7 linked regions of the Oryctolagus cuniculus genome follow. The protein of the gene in region 7 purifies or fractionates together with the protein of the main gene of each other region. This does not show direct contact. Links are inferred from orthologs where the notes say so. Each region holds a gene or a part of one and is shown on either strand. Other genes may lie near its edges.

The links.
Region 1: the proteins of PPP6C (region 7) and MAP3K7 purify together in Homo sapiens (affinity purification with western blotting; 3 studies listed by BioGRID and IntAct, with this or other methods). This does not show direct contact. The link is inferred for Oryctolagus cuniculus from reciprocal best matches to the Homo sapiens genes PPP6C and MAP3K7.
Region 2: the proteins of PPP6C (region 7) and ARHGEF2 purify together in Homo sapiens (affinity purification with mass spectrometry; 4 studies listed by BioGRID and IntAct, with this or other methods). This does not show direct contact. The link is inferred for Oryctolagus cuniculus from reciprocal best matches to the Homo sapiens genes PPP6C and ARHGEF2.
Region 3: the proteins of PPP6C (region 7) and ANKRD44 purify together in Homo sapiens (affinity purification with mass spectrometry; 5 studies listed by BioGRID and IntAct, counting the BioPlex papers as one, with this or other methods). This does not show direct contact. The link is inferred for Oryctolagus cuniculus from reciprocal best matches to the Homo sapiens genes PPP6C and ANKRD44.
Region 4: the proteins of PPP6C (region 7) and PPP6R2 purify together in Homo sapiens (affinity purification with mass spectrometry; 9 studies listed by BioGRID and IntAct, counting the BioPlex papers as one, with this or other methods). This does not show direct contact. The link is inferred for Oryctolagus cuniculus from reciprocal best matches to the Homo sapiens genes PPP6C and PPP6R2.
Region 5: the proteins of PPP6C (region 7) and PPP6R3 purify together in Homo sapiens (affinity purification with mass spectrometry; 10 studies listed by BioGRID and IntAct, with this or other methods). This does not show direct contact. The link is inferred for Oryctolagus cuniculus from reciprocal best matches to the Homo sapiens genes PPP6C and PPP6R3.
Region 6: the proteins of PPP6C (region 7) and TIPRL purify together in Homo sapiens (co-immunoprecipitation; 4 studies listed by BioGRID and IntAct, with this or other methods). This does not show direct contact. The link is inferred for Oryctolagus cuniculus from reciprocal best matches to the Homo sapiens genes PPP6C and TIPRL.

Annotation. Positions count from the first base shown.
Region 1 is NC_091436.1:81,926,401-81,929,900, forward strand, and holds part of MAP3K7 (mitogen-activated protein kinase kinase kinase 7), read left to right. Parts: intron 1-58; coding exon 59-187; intron 188-2,393; coding exon 2,394-2,524; intron 2,525-3,500. UniProt on the Homo sapiens protein: Serine/threonine kinase which acts as an essential component of the MAP kinase signal transduction pathway. Plays an important role in the cascades of cellular responses evoked by changes in the environment.
Region 2 is NC_091438.1:42,686,948-42,691,079, forward strand, and holds the start of ARHGEF2 (rho guanine nucleotide exchange factor 2), read left to right. Parts: upstream 1-1,332; 5' UTR 1,333-1,472; intron 1,473-4,132. UniProt on the Homo sapiens protein: Activates Rho-GTPases by promoting the exchange of GDP for GTP.
Region 3 is NC_091434.1:43,289,597-43,293,096, forward strand, and holds part of ANKRD44 (serine/threonine-protein phosphatase 6 regulatory ankyrin repeat subunit B), read left to right. Parts: intron 1-1,362; coding exon 1,363-1,508; intron 1,509-1,974; coding exon 1,975-2,057; intron 2,058-3,500. UniProt on the Homo sapiens protein: Putative regulatory subunit of protein phosphatase 6 (PP6) that may be involved in the recognition of phosphoprotein substrates.
Region 4 is NC_091442.1:123,276,733-123,280,818, forward strand, and holds the start of PPP6R2 (serine/threonine-protein phosphatase 6 regulatory subunit 2), read left to right. Parts: upstream 1-1,286; 5' UTR 1,287-1,523; intron 1,524-4,086. UniProt on the Homo sapiens protein: Regulatory subunit of protein phosphatase 6 (PP6). May function as a scaffolding PP6 subunit. Involved in the PP6-mediated dephosphorylation of NFKBIE opposing its degradation in response to TNF-alpha.
Region 5 is NC_091432.1:4,119,791-4,124,062, forward strand, and holds the start of PPP6R3 (serine/threonine-protein phosphatase 6 regulatory subunit 3), read right to left. Parts: upstream 2,801-4,272; 5' UTR 2,667-2,800; intron 2,604-2,666; exon of another isoform or gene 2,461-2,603; intron 1-2,460.
Region 6 is NC_091438.1:30,559,425-30,562,924, reverse strand, and holds part of TIPRL (TIP41-like protein), read left to right. Parts: intron 1-2,381; coding exon 2,382-2,561; intron 2,562-3,500. UniProt on the Homo sapiens protein: May be a allosteric regulator of serine/threonine-protein phosphatase 2A (PP2A). Isoform 1 inhibits catalytic activity of the PP2A(D) core complex in vitro. The PP2A(C):TIPRL complex does not show phosphatase activity.
Region 7 is NC_091432.1:229,001,644-229,005,644, forward strand, and holds the start of PPP6C (serine/threonine-protein phosphatase 6 catalytic subunit), read right to left. Parts: upstream 2,801-4,001; 5' UTR 2,583-2,800; coding exon 2,508-2,582; intron 2,437-2,507; exon of another isoform or gene 1,864-2,436; intron 1-1,863.

The sequences.
Region 1 (3,500 bases), on a different chromosome or scaffold from region 7:
TTGTTTCTGTATATCGTGTGGAAGAGAGTCTTGAGATTATATTGCCTTCTTTTTCTAGGTAGCAATTACAGTGAAAAATGTGACGTCTTCAGCTGGGGCATTATCCTTTGGGAAGTGATAACACGTCGGAAACCTTTTGATGAAATTGGTGGGCCGGCTTTCCGAATCATGTGGGCTGTTCATAATGGTTCGTAAAAAGAAATTTTTTTAATGTACTTTGTATTTCATATTTGGAAGATTGTTTCTGTCTTATCTCCATCCCCTCTCCCAAAATAAGGAAAAAAATTATCCCTAACCTTAAAAACTAAAATTCTTTGTTATCAAACTATATTTCTATTATCAATCCCCAGCCCCTGAGTCTAGTAGGGCAGATTTGGGGATTTCCCTGGCCTCCATACAGGGCTGAGAATGTGCTACTTGTGCATATTAGAGAAAGGCCATCAGAACACAACCAGTGCCAAATCTCTGTCTCTCTTGAGCATAGAGAAGGATCATACTAGGCTCTCTGAAAAATTAAATACATAAATAAAATCTAATGTAGTTCAGATAATTGGAAAGTTACAGCCTTTTTCTCCTGAGGAAGCAGAGTCTCAGTAAGGAGAAAAAGCAACAAATAATGATAAGAGTTGTTGGTTAAGCTCATGAAAGCAAAACAGAATGCTTTACATACCCTCTCTCTATAGTCTCACACAGCCTGAGGAGGTAAATTCGGTTGTCTCATTTTACAGGAAAAAGAGACACAAATAACTCGCCATGGTCTCAGGATTAGTAAGTGGCAGAGATGGGATGCAAATCTAGATCTTTCTGACTCAGTTGCTGTATTTTTCAGACATATTGACTGAGGGACTCACTATTCTTATTCCTGCATATCTCTAGTAATGATATTTCTAAGCACTTAGGTATTTATTTCTAACCCCATATGATGTTAGCATGATCCTCTTCATTAATAGTTATTCCACATTTGCTTTGGGAAAATAAACTCTTCATGAAGGACAGTTACTTAACCTTAGTAAGCATTAGCCTTGTTCTTCATTTCTTTCATTCGAATGTAATCATTTTGATTTGTAACATTTATATTTACTGTTCCGTAAGTAATAAACACAAATGTCTGCCTAACTATTCAGGTCATTCATAGAAGATCATCAGAACAATTTTAGCTGTTTTTATCAGTTTTCTGTACCACTTGCAGTGTTACTGCTGTCAGGGTCATGGTAGGGAATGCTAGATCATTGACCAAGACAGTTTGTTCTCTCTGTCAGCTGGCAGTGAATGATTGAATGGCAATGAAATAAGGAGTAGAAGAACTAACTTGTTACTTCATAAAATTACCAAAACTTCGTATTTGAGGCCTATGTTAAGTGGGACCTTACTAATAATTTTACACAGGTGTAGGACAAAAAGTTGGAATTTTGAGCCTTGAAATGATTGATTCACAGCAACCATAAGGTCTCAAAAGAGTCATTTGGAAGTCAGCAAGTATACTACTGTAGTTGACCAACTTTTTGATATAAAAGATAAGTTTTCAAACACATTTTGAAATTTTTGAAATTTAGGTAATGTTTCTTCAAACCACCATTTGAATTTTCTTTTAAAGATTTATTGATTTGTTTATTTCAAAGAATGACAGAAAGGGAGAAAGATTGAGATCTTCCATCCACTGGTTCACTCCCCACATAGCTGCAATAGCTGGGGCTAGGCCAGGCTGAAGCCAGGAACCAGGAACTCCATCCAGATCTCACACATTACGCCATTTTTTGTTGTTGTTGTTGTTAAAAGAGCATAACAAATATTGTTACTTCTCAATCTTACTGTTCTATATTGTACAAGTTTTTTTTTTTTTAAAGATTTTATTTATTTATTTGAGAGAGTTATAGACAGTGAGAAAGAGAGAGACAGAGAGCATGGTCTTCCATCCACTGGTTCTCTCCCTAATTGGCTGCAACGGCCACAACTGCAGCCATCTGAAGCCAGGAGCCAGGAGCTTCTTCCTGGTCTCCCACGTGGGTTCAGGGGCCAAGGACTTGGCCATCTTCTACTGCTTTCCCAGACCACAGCAGAGAGCTGGATTGGAAGAGGAGCAGCCAGGACTAGAACCAACACCCATATTGGATGCTGGTGCTGCAGGCGGAGGCTTAACCTACTGAGTCACAGCACTGGCCCCGATGTACAAGTTTTAATTTAACTTTTTTAAAGATGTTTTCCCTTTAGGAAAATATACATAAAATAAATGTTAACTTATAGGACAAAAATAAGTCCTTTTTTTACTCCAAAATATAGTTTTTAAATTACAAAATCTATAAAATAAACACTGCTTTGGGAATACAAATAAAGAACTTGCTCCATTCTTTGGGTAAATACATTGCTTTCCCTCCTTCTCTCATTTTTAATTATAGGTACTCGACCACCACTGATCAAAAATTTACCTAAGCCCATTGAGAGCCTGATGACTCGTTGTTGGTCTAAAGACCCTTCTCAGCGCCCTTCCATGGAGGAAATTGTGAAAATAATGACTCACTTGATGCGGGTATAATCCTTCTTTTGAGGGGCTTTGAATTTAGGGAAATTTAATGTATACTGAGTTTGAGTAGGGCTTAGAGTAAAGGAGACATTGTAACCATTTTCTTCTTTCTATTTTTGGGTTTTCATTACTCATATAATCAGAAGACCCATTTGGAGTATGAAGGGGGAGTAGTCTAGTTCCTTGTAATGGGAAGATGTTTAGGCTAGGTTTCTGGTTATACCTTTTCATACTGCTTACATTAGTGGACATGTGTTTCCGTTGTCTCATCTGTAATGTGAGAGAAGCTGAATTAGATGATCTGTTAAGCCTTCGCAGGACTTGGGTATATTATGACTTTCACACCCAATGAAGGAAATTTAAAATTTTCTGATATATATCATCAGACATTCAGTATTAGTCAGTCATTTATTTAGTTATACAGGACAGTAGAGGGAGAGGTTGCATTCCCAAATACATTTGAGTGATTATGTTTTACTATTTGTATTTTTGTTGTATATGAAAACCTGAAAAGGTTTTTATAGCTAAAAAAAATTTTTTAAGTTAACCTTTCTTCTAGGATTTATAGAATATTTTAATTTTCCTAGTCTACAAATCAAATACATTAGAATCATTTGAAATAGTTTAGACTTCTAGATTTTGGTAGACTAAGAAAACAACCAAATAGAATGTTTGCTTTAAAATGTTACTTTAAAATGAAAGTACCTGAAATTCAGAGCAATTTGATCAGTAGAACAACCTTGCAATTTCCTTAAATATAGACCAAGTGATTTCCTTAATTAATACCCAGAGATTACTTTTTTTTTTTTTTTTTGACAGGCAGAGTTAGACAGTGAGAGAGAGAGACAGAGAGAAAGGTCTTCCTTTTCTGTTGGTCCACCCCCCAAAATGGCCACTACGGCCGGCACGCTGCACCGATCCGAAGCCAGGAGCCAGGTGCTTCCTCCTGGTCTCCCATGCGGGTGCAGGGCCCAAGGACCTG
Region 2 (4,132 bases), on a different chromosome or scaffold from region 7:
GCAGATAAATGACTCCCACTTGGAGAGCCTGGCCCGTGGTGAGCTTGTTTCACTGGAGGATTTCAGAGTCCCCCCCCTCCCCGGCCCCCGGCCCCCGCCCCCGCCCTGCCCCACTTGCCCCGCCCCAGCAGGGTGGGCAGGCGTCTCCCTGTGTTCTTAGGAAGTGAGAAGCATGGGCCCGGCCAGCTAGGAAAGGCTACACACGGTGGTCGCGCACCTGGCGGCAGCTGCCCTCTTCCTCTCACCTGGAATGCGAATTGGAGAGCAATGATCCACCGAGGATCACCTAGTTTAATCTCGTGTAACCGAGCCGAGGGACAGGGCGGAATGGTTTCTTCGAGCTAACCCCACAAGCTGCAGCCTGTGTATTCAATGCCGGCTACCATGGGCTGGCATTCCTGCGCCACCATCTACATGAGCTTACATGAGACCCGGGCTCTAACAGAGGTGGGAAGGAGACTAACTCCTCCAAGGCCCCGTAACCCGTGAGTCGGCAGAGCCAGCCAGGACCTGCCAGCTCCAGCGCGCACCTTCCACTACATCACTGGCCGGCAGAGGAGGGCTCCTGTTACCAGTTACCTCGCCCCGCTGGCTGTCCTCTGCCTGGGGGGAGCAGGGAGGGTGAGTCAGCGCCCCCACCCTGGGGAGCTGCTATCAGGGAAGTGGGGGGAGGCAGTTGGTCAAATACCCTGCAGGCCGACCGACTGTATCCACAACAAGCCGTGCGGAGTTGCTTGGTCACTCCAGTTCCTGTAGGCGAGGCCAGGCCTGGTCAGCTGTAGCTGCCCTCAGTGGCTCCTCCCTGAACTTTCATCACACGCAAAAAAAAAAAAAATCTTTCCTCCTGTCCTGCTGGAACCTGCCTCTTAAAGGGACCAACAAGCAGCTTTGAAGCTGAATTTGAGAGCGGATAAAGGACTTTGCTAACCCCATGAGGACCTGGCCGGTTAGCCTTCCATCCCCGGACTCTCCCCAAGAGGCCTCCTCCCCGCCCCAGCTTCTCCCTGGTCCCTGCTGCAGGGAAGGGGCAAGTGCCCTGGGATGTCAGCTTCCCACATTCCCTGCCCTCAGGATGACCCCACTTTGGCTTCCTGCACCTGTTTCCCTGGGACGAGCCTCCCAGAGCCTGTGGCCATCCTTTGTTCGGGGCCTGCTGAGGCTGGAGCGCTGGCACTGAAGGGGTTAAAGGCCCGTGCACAGCACTGTCCAGGGTGTTTGAAGTAGGGCGGGGAAGGGAAGGGCTAGCGGAGCTGAAGAGGCCACTGGTCTGCGCTGGAATGAGTGCCCTGTCTCCCATGCAAACTCCTGGACCATGAGCAGCTCCCTTCACAGGACCAAGAAAGAGGCCCCCCCATCAAGGTGCTGGACTGGAATCTTAAAGGGACCACTGGAAACAGGACTTGTCCCTGTAGTGAGGTCCCCACCTGAGGGCAGGAACAGGTGCCCCATCTTCGGGACTTCTCCCGGGTCCGGTGAGTTGCCTTCCTCTCTGTGCCGGGTCTTCCCCGGGAGCAGGTGTCTTCAGGAGCCCCTCTTCTCCACTCAGCCTGCTGCTCCCAGCTGCCTTGTTTGCTTAGGGTGTGTGTGTGTGTGTGTACACACTGTGTAAATAGGGAACCACAGCCATGGCCAGTGGTTAATTAACACAGCTTGTTTGGCAAATGATGCTAAACCCTTTATACACATTCATTCTTTATCCTCATAATCCTATGGGGTTGACATACCAGAATCCTTATAGTAAATGTATGGCTTAGAGAAGTTAAATAACTAACTGTGTCAGTTAAAAGTTGTAGGCCTGGGGTTCAGATTCAAGTTCATGGCATAGCAAAGTCCATTATGTTCTTTTTGGTCTTGTTTTCCCACACAGGAGGTGTAGACACTAAGGATGTCTCTGGAATCTTGAAAGCCTGACATCCTAATTCTCCCAGGGCTTCCTTCCTCTTATCCTGTCGTGGGTTCCTTTGATCCCTGGGGGCTAACTGGGGAATATAAAGAGCCACCAGCTCACACCTGAGAGCTAGGGCCTTACAGATTGTCATCCACCAGACTGGGGGTTCTCTGCTCCGCCCACTGCCTTGCTATTTTCTGGGAGCTAACAGGTTAATGCTTGGGCTAAGGTGGCCAAAGTCTTCTCAGGTGTGTCCCTTGAACCTCAGGCCCTCTTGCCCCACCCTCTGGCACAGCAGCCAGAACTCATGCCAAGAAACCGGCAGGAGGTTCGAGAGGAGTGGTTGGCCCGGCCCTCCTTCTTCCCTGTCCCCCATGTAGTACGGGCTAGGCTGGTCCCGAGCCCCGGTACAATCGGCAGACAGCTACAGGTCCTGCTGAAAGGAACAGGACAGAGTCCCTGGGTTTAGTTTAATAACCAAAACAAAGCAAAACAAAACAAAAAGCAGGTAATCAGACTTGGAAGCCCAAGGCAACAAAAATTCCTGGCTGACGTGTGAGGCCGGTTGATTTTATCATCGAGGTGGGGGTGATTTAGGGTGGATGTTTGAGATGCCTGATTGCTGACTTCCTAGACAGGGTGTGGTTGGGTTAGGGGGCTGGAGATGCTGACTGCCTGTCCCATGTGGAACACCCAGAATTGAGAACTGATAGTAAACTTGGTAGCTGCCCTGGGAGCAGGTGGATGGCTTTCAACCCAGAAGCTGATGTGGGAAGCGGCTTTCGCCTGCACTGGCCCCTGCCTGGATTTGCATGTAGAACCTCTGGTTCCTCTTTCTTCTGCCTCATACTTGGGAGATGCTGAAGTGATGTTTGCTGAATGAATGGGTCCCAGAGGGGAGCCTTTGCCTTCTTGTCATAGACCTGCATGTCAGAGAAGAGAATGGGTTCCAGGACCCCGGCGTTCCAGCTGGCGGGGGTGGGGGTGGGGGTGGGGGTGGCGGGAGGTGGCAGAAGCTCAGGCGCTGCTGCCGTGCACGGAGCTGTCCTGTGAGCAGGAGCGTGCAGGCACGGGGCCCCCAAGGGCCTTCTTTGCTGAGGCCAAGAGAAGCTCAGTGTTAGCTCTCTTCGGATTAATGGTTCACTTCCCAGGGGAGAAGCTACGGGAGGTTAAACGTTGAACCATCAAAGGCTTTCCTGTGACCCTGTGCTACCAGGGCCAGGAGCCCCGGAGGAGAAGCCAGCACACACGTCAGCTGGCCTCGGCCTTGCCGCCCAGGGCTTATGGGTCTTCTCCATTGTTGCCCACCCTCAGGAGGTTTAGGATCCAGCACAGGACACGGGACACGGGGTGGACACGAGACACAGTTGCAGGAAGCCCCTCAGGCTGCTAAGGAGCCGGCAGTGTTGCCGCGGGGCCAGCCCGCTGTTTGGTTGCTATCTGCAGTTCCTAGCCTCAGTAGTTGCTGGCAGCAAACATAACCGAGGGCCCTGCCTGCCCCATACCTCCTTCAGATTTCTAAGACAACAGAGGGAGTAGAATGGACAAATTTAACTTCTTTGGAACCTCCATCTAATTTCTTTTGGAAGCTGCTTCCTTTTTTTTTTTTTTTAAGATTTACTTATTTGAAAGAGTTACACAGAGAGAGATGGAGAGGAGAGACACACAGAGAGTTTCCATCTTCTGGTTTATTCACCAGATGTCCACTATGGCCAGGGCTAGGCCAGGGCAAAGCTGGGAGCCAGGAACTCAATCCAGGTCTCCTGCGGGTGGCAGGGACTCAATCACTTGAGCCATTGTGTGCCGCCTTCCAAGACGTGCAGAAGCGGGAGCCAGGGATCGGGAGCGGAGCTGGCACTCTGACAGGGGCTATGGACAGCCTGAGCACTAGGCCACATGCCCACTCCTGCTGGGGCTTCCGTGTGCCCGCCTCCCCGACACTGGCTGCAGAATGCTCTGTTGGGAACGCAAGGCTTGATGTCTCTCTCCTCCCCACTGAGATTTGGAGACCCAGTGGCTCTAGACCAGGAGCCTGCCAACTTTTTTGGTAAAGACCCAGATAATAAATATCTTGGGCTTTGCAGGCCATACGGTCCCTGTCGCGACTACCAGCTTTGCTGCTAAGGCAAAAACAGCCCAAGACAATATGTAAATGAATGAGTAAGGCTTTGTTCCAAAAAAACCCTTTATTTATAGACACAAAGTTTTTTAATTTTTTAAAAAAGATTTTATTTATTTGAGAAA
Region 3 (3,500 bases), on a different chromosome or scaffold from region 7:
GGAACCCAGAACTCAATCTGGGTCTCCCACATGGTGTCAGGGCCCTACTTACTTAGGGTATCTCCTGCTGTCCTCCCAGGGTACACATTAGCAGGAAGCTATATCAAAAGCAGATGTTGTATCTTAACTGCTATACCAAAAGCCACCCCTAGTGTATTCCTTCTAAAACTACGTTATTTCATTATCTGGCTTACTAGGTTTTACTTTGCCTGTCCTCTTTTGAAAAACATTTAGATTGTCTCCAATATTTTGCTATTTCAGAGTAGTTTAATGAACATTCTCATACACATGTCTGTACGTATGACCAAGTATATCTGAAAATAATGTCCTAGGCTAAAAGATCAGTATTTTTAAATTGTATGTCTTTTTAAAGACTTTATTTATTTGAAAGGCAGAGTAACAGAGAGAGAGAGAGGAAGAAACAGAGAGAGAGAGAGAAAGAGATAGCTTCTATCCACTAGTTCACTGCCTGGCTTCAACAGCCAGGTCTGGGCCAGTTGGAAGCTAGGAGCCAGGAACTTCACCCGAGTCTCCCACATGGGTGTAACTTCTATGGGTTACAGGTGTCACAAGTGGTAGCTTAACCTGCTGTGCCACTAGGCCAGCTCCAATAAGTTTTTTTTAAAGATTTATTTATTTATTTGAAAGGCAAAGTTACAGAGAGGCAGAGGCAGAGCAAGAGAGAGAGAGGTCTTCCATCCTCTGGTTCATTCCTCGATGGCCACAACAGCTGGAGCTGAGCCAATCCAAGGCCAGGAGCCAGGAGCTTCTGGGTCTCTCATGTAGGTGAAGGGGCCCATGGACTTGGGCCATCTTCTACTGCTTTCCCAGGCCACAGCAGAGAGCTGGATCAGAAGTCGAGCAGCTAGAACTTGAACCAGCACCCATATGGGATGCCAGCACTGCAGGCGGCGGCTTTACCCACTAAGCCACAGCACTGGCCCCCCAATAAGGTTTTAATTTTGACAAATAATGCCAAATTGTCCTTCCAGAGAAATCAGCCACCCACATTAGATGACATAGACTCTTAAAAATTTGTACTCAATCAGCCAATTACCTACAATGTGAAGACTTAGTTTTGCAAATATCTATCTCAAAGATGAAAATGAACTCACTGGGTCTCAAGATTAAAGGGAAACCAAAGATGCTAATCTCATTAACAGGGCCCCTGCATACACCCCTCCCCTAATCTAGGGACTGCCATTTGCATAGGTGACACTTCAGAGTCTACCCTGATCAGTGTCCCCGTGAACTGAGACGTTTTAACTCCTGAAGACACCACCGTGCGTGTGTTTCTCAGGCATTGATCAAATACAGGGTAAAGTGTAAGGGACTAAAATCGTGTTTGCTTGAACTCTTGAGGACACCCCTCCATGCAGCAGCCTTTGCTGACCACGTGGAGTGCCTGCAGCTTCTTTTGAGACACAACGCTCAAGTGAATGCAGTAGACAATTCAGGGAAAACGGCGCTGATGATGGCTGCTGAGAACGGACAGGCGGGCGCCGTGGGTATGTGCTTGTCATGTGGACTTCATACTCGTGCTTTTCCCCAAACGAAAATAATGGGAATTTGAAAAATCAGTCGTGTTCTTGGTGTGCACGTGTGAAAAGGGGCCACAAACAGTTTCAGTTAGGCCACCTAACTATGTGCTTAGGCATTTTCAGTTCCCTGTGACTTGATCATTAGCGGACCTTGCCAGCGTGAGCCAACCTTTGTGCAGTGGCATTTCTCAGCATTTAGCAACCTGGTAAAAGAGCAGAATCATCTAACTGGTCTTAATGGAAAGCTGTAAAATAAAAGTAATGCCTGTTGATATTGGAGATAGAACAAATATAGCAATAAATTGTTCCTTTTTTTCTTTCAAAACATCAAATGGGAACTGTACTAATAGAAATGTCATTTTTGTAATAACTTGTTGAAAATGTATGTGATTAGCATCTAATCTAAATAACCCTCTTTTGGCTTTTTCTATAGATATTTTGGTGAACAGTGCCCAGGCTGATCTGACCATAAAGGATAAGGACTTGAATACACCCTTACATTTGGCTAGTAGTAAAGTATGTAAATGAATTTAAAATACTGTTACTAAGGGGTTTTAAAATTAATTTTAAAATATTTATTTATTTCATTTGAAAAACAGGGAGACAGATAGGCAGAGCTCTCCCACCTACTGGTTCACTCCCCAAAGGCCCACAACAGCTGAGAGCCGGGAACTCAGTGTTGCTCTCCCTTATGTCTGATGGGGACCCAACTACTTAGCCATCACCTGTTGCTTCTGAGAGTGTGCATCAGCAGGAAGCAGGAATCTGAGCACAGAGAGGATTTGAAGCCAGGCACTGCAGTGTGGGATGTGGGTATCCCAAGTGGCATCTTAACTGCTGTACCACATGCCCAGCACTGTTACTTGGCATTGTAAAAATAATTAGAATAATAATGATGGCACTAGAATTCTGCCTTTTAGGAAGCATGTTTCCCCAGGGTGTTTTCAGGTGTAAGTGGAATGGGGAGGGCAGACACGCTCGGCTGATGAGAATGTGCTGTGTCATCCTGAATGATGAGCACAAGCTTTCCATAGCATTTGCCGCTTACTCACCACAGTCTGTTTTGATGCTGCCACTGGATCCGTCTCCTTGGTTGTGAACCACAGAGTAGGTTAAGACTTTAATTCTATGACTTCTGAAATATAGGGGCCAGTGTTGTGGCCAGCAGGTTAAGCTGCCACTTAGAACACCAGCATACCGTATCAGAATACTATTTTCAGAGTCCTGGCTGCACCACTTCTGATCCAGCTTCCTGTTAATGCACATGGGAAGGCAATGGAAGATGGCCAAATACCTGGGCCTCTGCCACCCATGTGGAAGACTCAGGTGGAGTTCATGGCTCCTGGCTTCAGCCTGGCCCAGACCTGGCTATTATAGCCATTTAGAGAGTAAGCCAGTGGATGAAAGATCTATATATTTTTTAAGATTTATTTATTTATTTGAAAGTCAGAATTATACAGAGAGAGAAGGAGAGGCAGAGAGAGAGAGAGAGAGGTCTTCCATCCACTGGTTCACTCCCCAGTTGGCTGCAACAGCTGGAGCTGTGCCTATCCAAAGCCAATAGCCAGAAGCTTCTGGTTTCCCATGCAGGTGCAGGGGCCCAAGGACTTGAACCATCTTCTACTGCCTTCCCAGGCCAGAGAGCTGGATCGGAAGTGGAGCAGCTGGGACTCAACCAGCACCCATAAGGGATGCTGGCACTACAGGTGGCAGCTTTACCTGCTGTGCCACAGCACAGACCCCTGTATTTTTTTTTCAATATTTATTTTGTTATTATTTGAAGGGCAGAGTGACACAGAGAGGGAGGGTGGGTGGGGAGGAGAACTTCCATTCTCTGGTTCACTCCCCAAATGGCTGGAACAGCTGAGGCTGGATCAGACCGAAGCCAGGAACCTGGTGCTTCCTCCGTCTAGGTTTCTCATGTGGGTGCAGGGGCCCACATACTTGAGCCATCCTCCA
Region 4 (4,086 bases), on a different chromosome or scaffold from region 7:
TCACGGGGGGACACGGCTCTGAGTGAGGGCGGTCCCAGGTGGGTGGACATGGGATCGGGTGAGGGCGGTCATGGGAGACAGGCCTGAGTGAGGGCGGTCATGGGGGCTCGGCTCTGAGCTAGGGCAGTCACGGGGGACACGGGATCTGAGTGAGGGCGGTCATGGGGGACACGGCTCTGAGTGAGGGTGGTCACGGGGGACACGGGATCAGGTGAAGGTGGTCATGGGGGACAGGCCTGAGAGAGGGGCAGTCACGGGGGGCTCGGCTCTGAGCTAGGGCCGTCATGGGGGACACGGGATCAGGTGAGGGCAGTCACAGGGGACACGGCTCTGAGTGAGGGTGGTCACGGGGGACACGGGATCAGGTGAAGGTGGTCATGGGGGACAGGCCTGAGAGAGGGGCAGTCACGGGGGGCTCAGCTCTGAGCTAGGGCAGTCATGGGGGACACAGGATCGGGTTAGGGCAGTCACAGGGGACACGGGATCAGGTGAGGGTGGTCATGGGGGACACGGCTCTGAGTGAGGGTGGTCATGGGGGACACGGGATCGCATGAGGATGGTCATGGGGCACAGGCCTGATGGCGGTCATGGGGGGGGGACACGGCTCTGAGTGAGGGCGGTTCCGGGTGGGTGGACATGGGATCGGGTGAGGGCGGTCATGGGGGACAGGCCTGAGAGAGGGGCAGTCACGGGGGGCTCGGCTCTGAGCTAGGGCAGTCACGGGGGACACGGGACCTGAGTGAGGGCGGTCATGGGGGGGACAGGCCTGAGAGAGGGTGGTCTCGGTGGGGGGGTGGACACGGCCCGAGGGCGGGGGTCCTCTTGGCCCTGAGGCTCAGGTCTTCGCACCCCTCCCAGGATTTTCCTTGGACACAGCTCGCCATAACCCTTTCCCTCGGATGGTGGGAGGTGACAAGCGGAAGCCGTTGGCCGCGGGAACAGGTGCCGCGGGGAGGTGGGGGCCTCCGAGGGAGGTGGCCGGCCCGGAGGGGAGGGGCGCAGAGGGTGGGGGGCGGGCCGGCGCCCTGTCGGCCGCGGGAGCGCGCTCTCGGGGGAAGGGGCGGACGGACACCCCTCTCTCCCACGCATGTTAAACCCGCACGGACCGAACGTGCGAAGCTCGGGGTGCGGCAGGAGACGGGATGCAGACACCCGGCGGCGCCGTTCCGCGCTGGCGCGGTCCAGCAAAACGTCACCGCGAGCATCCCGCCCCGGGGCCGCCCGGGGGCTCCGGCCCCGCCCCGGTCGCGAGCGCGCGCGCCCCCGCGCCCGGAGAGCGCGCGCGCGCCCGCGCCGCCGCGGCCGCCATCTTGCGGAGAGCCGTGGGCTGCCCGCGGCCCCGAGCGGGTCCCTGGCGGTGCCGAGCCGCCGGCCGGCCGCGCCCGTGTCGGAAGGCGCCGAGCCCCTGGCCAGGCCCATGTGGGTGCGGCGCGCCCGAGGCCACCCGGGCTTCGCCGCCGCCCGCGCCCTGGCCTCCACTCGGGCCTCCGAGCAGCCGCCGCGACGCCCGGCCCGCGGGGCAGGTGAGTGTGGCCGCCCGGCCGGCGGGAAGGACAGGCAGCGGCTCCCGTCAGGCAGACAGCGCCCCCTGTCCGTCAGTGCCTCCTGCCAGTCAACGTCCCGACCGCCTGACAGCGCCGCCTGTCAGTCAGCCAGCGCCCCCTGTCAGCCAGCGCCCCCTGTCAGCTAGTGCCCCCTGTCCGTCAGTGCTCCTGTCAGTCAGCGCCCTGTCAGTCAGTGCCCTGTCAGTGCCGCCTGTCCGTCAGTGCCCCCTGTCAGCTAGTGCCCCCCGTCAGTCAGTGCTCCTGTCAGTCAGCGCCCTGTCAGTCAGTGCCCTGTCAGTGCCGCCTGTCCGTCAGTGCCCCCTGTCAGCTAGTGCCCCCCGTCAGTCAGTGCTCCTGTCAGTCAGCGCCCTGTCAGTCAGTGCCCTGTCAGTGCCGCCTGTCCGTCAGTGCCCCCTGTCAGCTAGTGCCCCCCGTCAGTCAGTGCTCCTGTCAGTCAGCGCCACCTGTCAGTCAGCGCCCTGTCAGTGCCCCCGTCAGCTAGTGCCCCCCGTCAGTCAGCGCCCTGTCAATCAGTGCCCTGTCAGTCAGTGCCCTGTCAGTCAGCGCCCTGTCAGTCAGCGCCCTGTCAGCTAATGCCTTCTGTCAGCACCACCTGTCAGTCAGTGCTCCTGTCAGTCAGTGCTCCTGTCAGTGCCCCCTGTCAGCTAGTGCCCCCGTCAGTCAGTGCTCCTGTCAGTCAGTGCCCTGTCAGCGTCCTGTCAGCACCCTGTCAGCTAGTGCCCCCCATCAATCAGCGCCACCTGTCAGCTAGTGCCCCCTGTCAGTGCTCCTGTCAGTCAGTGCCCCCGTCAGTCAGTGCTCCTGTCAGTCAGTGCCCCCGTCAGTCAGTGCCTCCTGTTAGTCAGTGCCCCCGTCAGTCAGTGCCGTCAGCTAGTGCCCCCTGTCAGTCAGTGCTCCTGTCAGTCAGTGCCCCCGTCAGTCAGTGCCTCCTGTTAGTCAGCATCCCTATCAGCGCCCTGTCAGTCAGTGCCCCCGTCAGTCAGTGCCTCCTGTTAGTCAGCATCCCTATCAGCGCCCTGTCAGTCAGTGCCCTATCAGCCAGCCTGTGTGTGAGCCTTGGTGACCCCTTGACCTCGTCTGCAGCAGTTCCCTCCCCTGTCTGTGATCTCTGTTGGCTTCCCCGTGGTCAGCGCCCTCCTCAGCAGTGACTGTGCTGGCCTAGAAGTGCCTGCCATCCCTGCCTGTCAGGGTCCCTGGGTCGCTCAGAGCCTACCCCCGACCCGGTCAGATGGGAGGACCCCTGATGTCAGTGCTCACCCCCACCTTGGTGCCCCCTCCCTCCTCTGTGACCTTCCTGTCCACACCCCGTGCTCCTGTTGGAGACCCCGCCTGTCAGTGGTCCCCACACTGTTCCTCCGCTGCCTGTCAGTGAGATCCTTCCCCTCAGTGGCGCTGCCACTTCTCACTGCAAAATCTCCGCTTCCCAATTGTCCTTAAGCCCTTTGCCAGCTTGTTATTCTTTTTTTTTATTTTTTTTATTTTTTGACAGGCAGAGTGGACAGTGAGAGAGAGACAGAGAGAAAGGTCTTCCTTTGCCATTGGTTCACCCTCCAATGGCCGCCACAGCCAGCGCGCTGCGGCCGGCGCACCGCGCTGATCCGATGGCAGGAGCCAGGTGCTTCTCCTGGTCTCCCATGGGGTGTAGGGCCCAAGCACCTGGGCCATCCTCCACTGCACTCCCTGGCCACAGCAGAGAGCTGGCCTGGAAGAGGGGCAACCGGGACAGAATCCGGCGCCCCGACCGGGACTAGAACTCAGTGTGCCGGCGCCGCAAGGTGGAGGATTAGCCTAGTGAGCCGCGGCGCCGGCGCCAGCTTGTTGTTCTTTCCCAGTCTGCCCCAACCTCCCCCATGGCTTCTCTCTGACAGGCTTGACATGCCTCTCGGGTCCTGCCATCTCTCATCTCTCAGCTGTTCACCACTTTCCGTGTGTGTAAGATTTATGGGTGTAGTACGTTGAGCATCTGCCTGTGGCACTGGCATCCCATGTGGGCGCTGGTTCAGGTCCCAGCTGCATCACTTCTGATTCAGCTCCCTGCTGATGGCCTGGGAAAGCAGTAGAAGACGGCCCAGTGCCTAGGTCCCTGCACTTGGATGGCAGACCGGAGGAAGAGCCTGGCTCCTGGCTTTGGATTGGCTCAGCTGTGGCCATTGTGGCCATTTGGGGAGTGAACCAGCAGATGGAAGACCTCTCTCTCTGTCTCTCCCTCTCTCTGTCTGTAACTCTGCCTCTCAAGTAAATAAATACATCTTAAAAAAAAAAAAAAAGATTCATGGGGCTGGTGCTGTGGTGTAGCAGGTAAAGCCATTACCTCCAGTGCCAGCATCTCGTATGGGCACCGCTTCCAGTCCTGACTGCTCCTCTTCGATCCAACTCTCTGCTATGGCCTGAAAAAACTGCAGAAGACGGCCGAAGTGCTCGGCTCCCCTGCACCCACTGGGAGACCCAGAAAAGGCTCCTGGCTCCAGATCAGCTCAGCTCCGGCCGTTGCAGCCTTTTGGGGAGTGAACCATCAGATGGA
Region 5 (4,272 bases), about 220 Mb from region 7:
AGGATCTGGGTGCAAAGGCAGAGCTCACAAATCACCCAAAGGACCCCCAGCTACAACTGTCCCTGAAATCTAACATCCTGAACAGTGGTCCCAAACCCGAGAAGCACAGCAATTTGTCTGGGAAGTTTTTAAAAGTGGATTCTCACCCCCACCACAAACCACCAGAGCTGAGGCCCAGCACCATGGTCGTCTTTAAAAGGATAAGACTGATTCGTTTATGTCCTCTGAAAGGAAGAGAGACAGAGGGGACGAGCAGGACCGCGACATCAATCTGTCTTCTGGTTCATTCCCCAAATGCCCACAAGAATGGGGCTGGGCCAGGCCACCGCCACCAACTCCATCCGGGCCGCCCATGAGGATGGCAGAGGCCGTCCCAGGCACATCACCACAACTGCCGAGCAGCCAGGACCCGAACCAACGGATACGGCTGCCGGCATGCCAACAGCAGCTTAACCCACTGCACCACAATGCTCACGCACCCACGGCCTCCACGTCCCGCGGGATTCTAACACAGGCCAGTCCACCACCACCTAGAGCAGGGTGCATCGGCCTCAGCCCCACTGCTGTTCGCGCTGGGTGACTGTCCTGCGCGGTGTCCCGGGCCTCTGCCTTCCAAACACACAGCACCCACCCCCGAGGCTGGCAAGCGTCTCCCAACGCTGCCCAACGCTTCCCGGGGTAGAATCACCCCAAGTTGAGAATCCCTGATCTATAATTAAAAACAACCATTTGAGGTTTTCTTAAGAACAGGAAGAAGCGTGAAAGCTGCCTAAGTCAGTCCAAGAAGCCCCACTGGGCTCAGATCCTGACTTAGTGCTCCCCGTGAAGCACCCCGAGGCTGGGTTCCCGCTGAGCAGTCAAAGACCGCCATTACTGTCGCTTACTCTGACGTGCAGGAAACACTGTAAAAACTGTCAGTCAACACATGCTCGGGCTGATATCTGAAATTCAAAACCACAAGACAAGCTCATGACGGAATGCCAAGCCTGGCCAATGCTGTTTCAGGAATGCTTACTTGTAATAAAGACACTATCTCTGTACCAAACACGCAAAAATTTATCTTGAAGAAACCAAACACGCCTCACCCGTCAAGTCTTCATCTACACATCCAGCTGTGGCCTGACTCTAATTCCCAGTCAAAACCCGAAAGATGTTTCTGTTTATTTGTCTGGCTTCTTGTACTCTGCACAAAGCTCGAGTCTCCTTCCGGTCTGAGTAAGCCACAGCAGCCTGATGCCGGTCCCCACGGGGGCCTCCACAGGATCAGAATCCACTTCCCGGGCCAGCACAGGCACCGGGGGCGGGGGGGCAGCGGAGGCCTGGGCGACTGGCCGCCGCCGCCGCACTCCGCTCCCAGCTGCACCCAGACGGGAGGGCCCTGGGGTGCACCCACACCCCACCAGGGGCGCCTCAGAACCCCGCGCAACACTCCAGGAAGGACCCCAAAGGTACACGAGGCAGAGTCCCAGGAAAGCGCTGGGCGGCCCTCTGCGTGTAGCCCCCTCCTGGAACACCAGCCCTGGCTCCAGCCCCCGGATCTAATCCCACGAAGCTCCATCAGCCCCCTTCCAAAAAAAAAAAAAAAAAAAAACACAAAACTACAACTTCCACTCATTTCCGACCCCAGCTGACTCTAAACTACAAAGCAGGCCGGGCCGAAACGCTCGTCCGACTCCCACCGGGGCCTGCGCGCGTCCCAGGCCCGGCCCGGCCCGGCCGCCCCGCGCACAGGTGCCCCGGGACCACGCAAGGTCACGGCGCCGGCGAGCCGCAGCCTCGCGGGGCAACCGCGAGCCTCGGGCCGCGCGCTGCCCATCAGCAACGTGACCTTGAGGGCAGAAAAAGTAAACTCCACCCCGGCCAGGCGGGAGCGGCCCCGAGCGCGTCCCCCGGTGCCCCGCACTCGCCCGGACACCTGCGACTCCGCCCGCGCCCCCTCGGCGGGCAGCACCTGCGCGGCGGCCGCGGACGCGCGCCTCCCGGACGGGGGTCCTCGCGGCCCCGGCCCCCAGGAAGGCCACGGGAGCGCGGCGGCCGGCTTCGGGGCGCGTCCCGACGACTCCGCGCCCGGCGGGGCGAAGCCCACCAAACTTGCTTCCCGGAGGACAGAGTCCAACAATGGCCCGCGCTCGCCCGCGGCTCCCCGGGACACGCGGCGGGGGCGGCCGGGGCGACGCGGGCGGGAAGCCGGAGCCCCGCAGGGGCGCGCCAGGCCGCGGGCACCCGCGCCGCGCCGAGCTCGCCGCCCGGGCCGCGGCTGACAGGAGCGGGCGGGCAGCGGCGCGGCAGGGCTCGGCGCCGCGCCTCCCGGGCCGCCGAGCGGCGAATTCCGGGGGGGAGGGGAGAGGGGCCGGACGCTCCCGCCCCGCGCCGAGACCCCGGCGAGGCGCCCCTCGCCCGCCCGCGCGCCCCGCCGCCCCCGCGCCGCGGCCCGCCCCGAGGCCTCCCCACCCCCATTACCTGGAGGCGCCCACGACCCGCCGCTAGTTGCGCTCAGGCGGGAAACGCGCTCACCGACACCATCAGCGAAGCGCCCAAAATGGCGGACGTATCAAGCAGGCCTTGAGTGCCCCCCGCCCTCCCTCCGGCCGCCTCGCAGCCAATCGCGGCCCAGCCCCCGCCCCCAGCTCCACCCTCATTGGCCTCCCTCTCCCGCCCCCTTCAACCTATTGGATCGCCCAGCGGCTCCCTTGCCTCCCCTTCGATTGGCTCGCAGGCCTCGTCAGTCAAACGCGAGGGGTACATTCTTTTTCCCATGGACTTGACGGATCCGGAACCTCTAGGACCCTGGAGTCGCAGAAACAAATCAGGAACCGGGAGAAACTTGGCTCGGTCCAGCCCCCTACGCCGTAGCAACAGCAGGGCCTCTGCTTGACGGACGCCTCGGACCACCAATCTGAGCGGCCAATGTCTCTTGAAACTAACTTGAGCCAAACCAATCGCGGCTGTGGAGCCTGAGCCGCGAGCGAACCAATGGGGGAGCGAGACGGGCGGGTAGGCGGGGCCGAGGGGACCGGTGATGACGTGAGTCACAATACGCGCCGGCGCCGGAAGCCGTGCGGGGCCGGGGAATTAGCTCAAGTGGTAGAGCGCTCGCTTAGCATGTGAGAGGTAGCGGGATCGATGCCCGCATTCTCCACTGCCAACTTTTACGGCGGGGATTACCTGTCGCGTGCACTTCGCCGCCGTCACGTGGCCGCCCCGGGCGCGGGGGTCAAGGCCAGGGTCGCCGAGTGCCCCCGGCCCTGTGGGGCCCTCCCCAGCGCGAGCGGCGAGAGAGGCCGCGCGGGCCCCTCCCTTTTTCCACAGGGGAGGGCCTCCCCGCGAGCTGACCTCCGCGCCGCCCCCCGGGGACCCCAGGCCCGCGACTCCGAGGACGGCCCTGGGGGGCTCCTCCCGGACCAGGCTGCGGCGCGGGGCGCGGACAGCCCCCCCAGGTGCCCGCCCAGGTGTGGGCCGCCTGGACCCCGTGCGGAGAAGCGTCCTCAAGGCCTGGCGGCCCTGGCTGGGGGGCTGGGCCCTCGTAGACCCCGCGGGGCGCTGGCCTCCCCGCAGCCGCGGTCACCCGCGTGGACTCCGGCAGGGCGGAAAGCCGGGTCGCGGTGAGGGCGGGCACACACAGGCAGGTGACCTGGGCGGGGCAGGGCCGAGCGCACCCTCCCCCCCCCCCACGCCCTGGGAGGACAGGGTGGGGCCGGCACAGGTCTGGGGTGGGGGGACACACCGGAGGCCTTGGAAGTCGGCCAGAGGCACCTACCTGGGGCTTGGGCTCCGCCCGTGGGAGCCAGGGCGGTGCAGGGCAGGTTGGAGCAGGAGCCGCCCAGGGCCGGAGGGGCAGGCCTGGACCGAGGGGGCCGAAGGCTGCCAGGGGCCTGCCGGGGGCGGGGGCCAGCCCAGGGGGAGGATTGGGGGGGGCAGCCCAGGGGGAGCAGGCTGCAGGGGGGGAGGACTGGGGGGACAGCCCAGGGGGAGGACTGTGAGGGGGCAGCCCAGGGGGAGGATTGTGGAGGGGTCCAGCCCAGGGGGAGGACTGTGGGGGGGGCAGCCCAGGGGGAGGATCGTGGCGGGGAGCAGGCTGCGAGGGGCGGGGGCCAGCCCAGGGGGAGGACTGTGGGGGGGGAGGCCCAGCCCAGGGGGAGGACTGTGAGGGGGCAGCCCAGGGGGAGGATTGTGGAGGGGTCCAGCCCAGGGGGAGGACTGGGGGGGCAGCCCAGGGGGAGGATTGTGGAGGGGTCCAGCCCAGGGGGAGGACTACAGGGGGGTGGGGGGAGC
Region 6 (3,500 bases), on a different chromosome or scaffold from region 7:
GAACTGGAGAGTCCCAGCCCCACTTAAAGGGGGGCAATCTCTACTCAACTGTTGCCAATTGATGGTGCATGGCAGTGCAGTGCAAGTCTAATGTTGCTGGGTCTTTTTAAAAATTTTTTAAAGATTTATTTGTTTATTGGAAAGGCAGAGTTACAGAGAGGCAGAGACAGAAGGACAGAGAGGTCTTCCATCCTCTGGTTCACTCCCCAAATTGCTGCAACAGCCAGGACTGGGCCAGGCTGGAGCCAGGAGTTCCATCTGGGTCTCCCATGTGGGTACAGGGGCTCAAGCACTTGGGCCATCTTCTGCTGCTTTCCCAGGCGGAAGTAGAGCAGCCGGGACTTGAACTGGTGCCCAAATGGGATGATGGTGCTGCAGATGGTAGTATAACCCACTGTGCCACACTGCTGCAGTCCTGTTTTTTTTTTTTTTTTTTTTAAGAGAAACTGGAAGCCTAGATTATAAAAAACCCACAGTTTTAAATACTAAAAAATTAAACATATTGTACAGGCCAATAAAAACACATCTGTGGATTACTAATTTGTGGTCTTGGCTTTTTAGTATGTCTCATATAACTTTCTTTAATAAGACTGGCTAAATGAGGTCCCAGTATATATAAAGCTGTCTAGTATATTGGAAAGAGACCTGGTGTTAGCAGTTACTGGTTCCATAATCTTGAGTTAGCCATGCAAATATTCTGACCCTTTCTTAGCTCACAGAATATTTTGTTTGAGTATGGTATTTTTTTTTTTTAGATTTATTTATTTATTTGAAAGGCAGAAATAGAGAAGGAGGGAGAGAGAGAAATTGATTCTGTCTGCTGGTTCACTCCCTAAATGGCCACAACAGTCAGGGCTGGGCCAGGAAGAAGCCAGGAGCTTTTCCCAGGTCTCCCATGCTAGTGCAGGGGTCAAGCCCCTGGACTATCTTCTGCAGCTCTCCCAGGAACATTAGCAGGGACCTGGATTGGAAGTAACAGAGCTGGGACTTGAACTGGTACTATATGGGATGCTGGCACTCCAGGCAAAGGCTTACCCATCAGTGCCACAGTGCAGTTCTCTGTGTTTGTTTTTGTAGCATGCTTTTTTTTTTTTTTTTTTTATTTTTTATTTTTTTTTTATTTTTGACAGGCAGAGTGGACAGTGAGAGAGACAGAGAGAGAAAGGTCTTCCTTTTGCCGTTGGTTCACCCTCCAATGGCCGCCGCTGCAGCCGGCGCACCGCGCTGATCCGATGGCAGGAGCCAGGATCCAGGTGCTTTTCCTGGTCTCCCATGGGGTGCAGGGCCCAAGCACTTGGGCCATCCTCCACTGCACTCCCTGGCCATAGCAGAGAGCTGGCCTGGAAGAGGGGCAACCGGGACAGAATCTGGCGCCCCAACCGGGACTAGAACCCGGTGTGCCGGCGCCGCAAGGTGGAGGATTAGCCTATTGAGCCACGGCGCCGGCCTGTAGCATGCTTTTAAAGTCCTTGTCTTTTTTTTTTTTTTTTTTTAAGTTTGATTTATTTTATTTGAGAGACAGAATGAGAGAGAGGTCTTCCATCTGCTGGTTTACTCCCCAAATGGCTGCAATGGATGAGGCTGGAGCAGGCAGAAACCAGGAACCTAGAACTTTACAGGTATCCCACATGGTGCAGGAGCCCAAGCACTTGGGCCATCATCTGTTTCTTTCCCAGGCATATTAGCAGAGAGCTGGATTGGAAGTGAAGCAACCAGAACTTGAACTGGGGCTCCGAAATGGATTGCTGGCATTGCAAGGGCACTTCACCCACTGTGACACATAGCCTGTCCTATCATAGGGTATTTTGATGCTTGAATTTTGCTGTCTCAGAAGTGATTTCTGATCTTCTTACCTAAAATAGTATCCCCCCCTGCCCCTGTCCCTGCCTGTGGCTGACACTGGCATATTGGGTAAAGCCACTGCCTGTGGTGCTGGCATCCCATATGGGCACCAGTTTGAGTCCTGGCTGCTCCATTTCCATTCCAGCTCCCTGCTAATGTACGTGGGAAAGCAGTGGAAGATAGCCCCAGTCCTTGGGCCCCTGCACCCATGTAGGAGACCCGGAAGAAGCTCCAGCCTTCTGGCTTTGTTTTGACGCAGTTACCTTGCTTCATTTTTTCACATAGCACTTACCACTATCATTATAATATGTATCTGTGTATTGTCTGTCTTATTTAGCCCACTCTCTAATACAGGACCCTATAGATCTGATTATGAAAGATCGGATGTTGAAAGCATTTTATAGACTACAAATATATCATGTTTATTAACTCATCTCATTTAACTCAGTAATGTGGGAAGAATTCTGTTGGGATAAAAAGGTGAGAAAAGTGCCAACAGTGACATAAAATAATCTCACCTGACTTTTGGTTGTGTATAGGTTAGCCGATGAATTGCACATGCCGTCTCTCCCCGAAATGATGTTTGGAGACAACGTTTTAAGGATCCAGCATGGTTCTGGCTTTGGGATTGAGTTCAATGCTACAGATGCGTTAAGATGTGTGAACAACTACCAAGGCATGCTTAAAGTAGCCTGTGCTGAAGAGTGGCAGGAAAGCAGGTGAGAGCCTGGGCAGTTACGGGTTAAACCAAAAGAAGAGTTAAAAGGAATATTTACTAAGGCTCTATGTGTATCTTATTAAAATGAAAGGCTAATGTTATTAAATTTGTAGTTGGGTTATTCTAGAATTCATTTTTCTCAGCCATAATGTGGAAGTTAATTATCTCACTACTTGAATATTTGTTGAGTTAAATTGGACTACAACTGTACTGAGATATATAGGATTTACTTTTAAGCCTTCAGTGTTCCTTGGTCAAGAGTCAGTACACTATACTTTAATGTTCTTGTTTTTAAAGAAAAACACAGTCTTACGATTTACATTGAATGTTTGTGGAACACTGAAAGTAAAAAAAGAAGTGTATGTTCTTCGAAAATCCAATCAGCAATTCTTTGTGCCTACTATGTACTAGGTACCTTGTAGAATACAAAGAAATATAAAGCTTTAAATCATGTTCTCAGGCAGTGTACAGACTCCTTTGAAAGACTACATCGGCCGGCGCCGCGGCTCACTAGGCTAATCCTCCGCCTAGCGGCGCTGGCACACTGGGTTCTAGTCCCGGTCGGGGCGCCGGATTCTGTCCCGGTTGCCCCTCTTCCAGGCCAGCTCTCTGCTGTGGCCAGGGAGTGCAGTGGAGGATGGCCCAGGTGCTTGGACCCTGCACCCCATGGGAGACCAGGAAAAGCTCCTGGCTCCTGGCTCCTGGCTCCTGCCATCGGATCAGCGCGGTGCGCCGGCCGCGGCAGCCATTGGAGGGTGAACCAATGGCAAAGGAAGACCTTTCTCTCTGTCTCTCTCACTGTCCACTCTGCCTGTCAAAAAAATAAAAAGACTACATCAGGACACGAGAAGTTAAATAGCGGGGCCGGCACCATGGCTCACTTGGTTAATCTTCTGCCTGTGGCGCCAGCATCCCCTATGGGCACTGGGTTCTAGTCCTG
Region 7 (4,001 bases):
CTTGAAAAAAAAATTTTCTAAAAATTCAGACAACCTTCAAGTTATAGACTCTCTCCTCCAAAAGTACTTACATATTCAGCAAACTAGACTTTTAGTATATGTGCTGCCAAAGCGAGCACCAAACTAGACTTTTATCACTCCTTCTTTCACTTAGCAACTTATGAAATCTAAACCATCTATTGAGCTCTGTTGTCCACTCACTCTCAGGTACTTTATTCTTATTCCCTCAAAACAGGCAGATTCGACCTGGTACTAGTATTTTGACCATTTCAAATTCAGTTATAAAGAACTTGTTATCACACCTGAACATCCTATGTATTTATTATTTAATGTTGCACCTCTAACTTCTAATAAACTTAAAATACAAATAAAAATTTACTTTCCTTTCTACCCAAACAAGTCTCTTCCATCATGTTCATTAAGTGGCCCCAATTAATTCTTTCCATCCTCTAACAGAATATTTTCTACTGACTTGAAAGCATCAAAGGTGCTCCTAGAGTATTTTTTGGTCTGCCTATTTTTAGTTTGTACTTCATGCCAAGAAAAAGAAACATAAATTAAATTTCTTTAAATACTCTGGAGGTGCCGGCGCCGCGGCTCACTAGGTTAATCCTCCGCCTTGCGGCACCGGCACACCGGGTTCTAGTCCCAGTTGGGGTGCCGGATTCTGTCCCGGTTGCCCCCCTTCCAGGCCAGCTCTCTGCATGGCCCGGGAGTGCAGTGGAGGATGGCCCAAGTGCTTGGGCCCTGCACCCGCACGGGAGACCAGGAAAAGCACCTGGCTCCTGGCTTCGGATCAGCGTGATGCGCCGGCCACAGCGCACCAGCCGTGGCGGCCATTGGAGGGTTGGAGGGTGAACCAACGGCAAAAGGAAGACCTTTCTCTCTGTCTCTCTCTCTCACTGTCCACTCTGCCTGTCAAAAAAAAAAAAAGAAAGAAAAAAAAAATTTTCCAAAACAGAAGTCTCTAACAGAGAAAAATCCAGAATTTAAGTAGTTGCTCAGAAGATATAAAGTTTATTAAGAATCAGATGCAAATAAATACAGTCCAACTATGTTTCAACAGGAAATAAAATGGTTTAATAATTACTTCCTTCAGATAACGTTTAGCAGACTAAGAGATCTAAAGAAAATCCAACTGTTTTTCAAGTAATTTGTGTCCCACCTCAAGGTAATATCAAGACATATTTTCTGAAACTGAAATCACAAAGTACAAAACGGCTTTAAACATAACAAATGAAAACAGAATTCCACATCGATTCATTAACATGCAATGAATTCACCAAAAAGATGAACAATGCTACCAGCAGAGGCCTGGCCAGTTCTCCATGAACGGGTTCCCAATGCTGGCTACACAGCACGCGTCTGAAGCACTGGGAGCAGAAACACTACACTACCATTAATAAAAGCTGTCCTTAGTGAAGCTATCCTATTAAAAATGGGGGGGGGGGGGACGAGAGTGATTATCCCAGCATAAGCACATACAATTCATTTATATTCACATCAGGCCAGGGAACCTGAAAAATTTTGCATACTTGTTGAGTGAGGTTAAATATCAACTTCCGGTACCAAAGGATATAGCAAAAACACAAACACGGTCACATCTACTTTTGTAACTTTACAACCCACGGCTTAATGAAAGCATGAAAAGCACTCGAACCGTTTACAGCTTACCCACTTAGCACAGAGCCCATCAAAGTTAACAGAACAAATGAGACACCGGCACTAGCGGGTAACCGCTGCTGGAAACCCAAGCACTGGTTTCAACAAAGCACAGAAACGCTTTTCCAAAATTATCCGACCCCGACTCCTGCACCCACACACACAATCCCACCACTCGGGCAATAACAAGCAAAAAGTCACCTTCTTCCAAAAAGCCAAGAAGTGGGTTTCGGGGGCACGACTTCCAGGCGAGCAAGCTACTGGTATCTGCACACTTTACCCAACACCGCCACAGACCGGGATTCCCAGCTGAATTGGCACGAGAGCCAGCACGCCCAAGGAGCAATGTGGAGCGGCGTACGGAGGGACACGACGTCCTCTTACTCCGCTCGGGCCCCGCCGCCCCGCCGGACCTCAGCGACCCCGGGAGCCGGCCACCCGCGCTCCTGTCACCTCCGGGGAGCACCACCCGCTGGGGCTCGACTCCGGCTCCGGGGCTCGGCGCTGCGGCTGGGGAAGAGCGGGGTCTTCCCGGCGAAGCTGTAACGGCTCCGCGTCCAGGGGCAGCCCGCAGGCCAGGAGGGGCGACCCCGGAGGAGAGCCCGCGACAGCCCTCGGGATCCCCGGCGGGGGAAGCCAGGACAGCATCCGGGCACTCGGGCTCTCCCGTCTCCCCGCGTGACGCCGAGCCCGAGGGTCGCCTCCCACCGCGGAGGGCTCTCCACCGCGACAGGACTGGACACCCGGCAGGGGTCCCGCGGAGAGAGGAAGGGCGGACCGGCGGGCGCCCCACAGCCGGAAGGGGCGAGCCCCGCAAGCGGCACTCCCGCCCCGGCCGGGCTCACCTTCAGGTCGTTTTCTGGCAGGTACTTGCACAGCCGCGCTATCTCCACATACTTGTCCAGGTCTAGCGGCGCCATTTTAGGAGGAACAAGCCGCGGCGGCGGCGGCGGCGGCGGCGACGGTACTAGCGGCGGCAGCGGCGGAGGCCGAAGCCGGAACTCTCCCTACGTCACGTCCGGCCCGTGAGTGGCGTCTGCGCAGCGACGTTAAAGCTTGACCGGATTCTCCGCGCCGCCCCCGCACGTCCCGCGCCCTCGCTGACTGATCCCAGGCTGCAGCCCGAAGAGGTCCCCTCAATTCCGCCCGCGAAACCTGCTGGGACCCGTAGTTGCCTGCCGCGGGGGTTGCTGGGATTTGTAGTTTTCAGTTGGAGCCGGCTTCTCTTTTTCCTCCTCTTCCCGGTACTTCACCCCTGGAGACCCGGCAAGGCTTATCGGAGGCAAAACGGCGAAGTAGGTGACCTGAGCGTTCTGTGGCTTCTCGTTGCGACCCTTTTAGGCCCTCTCTCAACAGGACATCCTCAGTTAGAAATTGGGTAAGCCTGCCCGTAGTAGCCTGGTTGCGCCTTTCCAAGGTTTTGCAAAAACCTCGGTTAAACCTGTGGCGGAGAAGCCGAACTCCCAGTCGTCTGGTCTTGAGGATGAGAAAGGAAATGTCAAAGCGTTTCTTGTACCGGATGCCGCAAGGGTTCTTTTATTCTGTGTTTTCTTCCCCGCCCCACTCCCCTTCCCCCATTAATTCTCATGATTGCTGGGAAGGTAAGGCTTGGAGACCCTACGTAACTTGCCCCACATGTCACCGGAAACGAACGGTAGAGTCAACATTGGAAAACAGGTCAGCTGGCTTAAGCAGACCTCCGTGGGAGTCCCACGAGGGAGGGAGTTTAATGTTGTGTCCCCAACCGAGTAAGATCACCTGGCACTGAGTAGGCCTTCAGCATTCATTGAGGCATTCGTCATTCCGCAGCTGTTTACCAAACACCAGCCATGGGCCAGGTACAACTGCAGGCGCTTGGGATACGCAGTCAACACAGTAGACAAAGACGGGCGTCCACAGCCTGTGGTTGACAGCTAGGACGGGAAGACACCACGCTGCCATCAATGCATAGCGTTTGAGAAAGTGACGTGTGCTAGGGGAACAACGCGGCAGAGTAAGGACATGAACTTTGAAAGCCATCTAAGAAGTGGGGGAGTTGCCCATGCAGCTACCTGAGGGATATGATAGGGAGGAGCTGGTGCGGAGGCCCTGAGGTGGACGCCTATCTAAAGTCTTCGGGAAACAGCAAGATTTGTGTGGTTGGAGCAGAAGTGAGAGGAGTAGGAGAGATCAGAGAGAAAAGGAGAAGAATACTGTGTTTTTTTGTTTTGTTTTTTAAGGATTTATTTATTTGAAAGTCACAGTCACACACAGAAGGAGAGAGAGAGACAGTGAGAGAGGTCTTCCATCTGCTGGTTCACTCCCCTAATCAGCCACAATGGCTGGAGCTGCTCTGATCC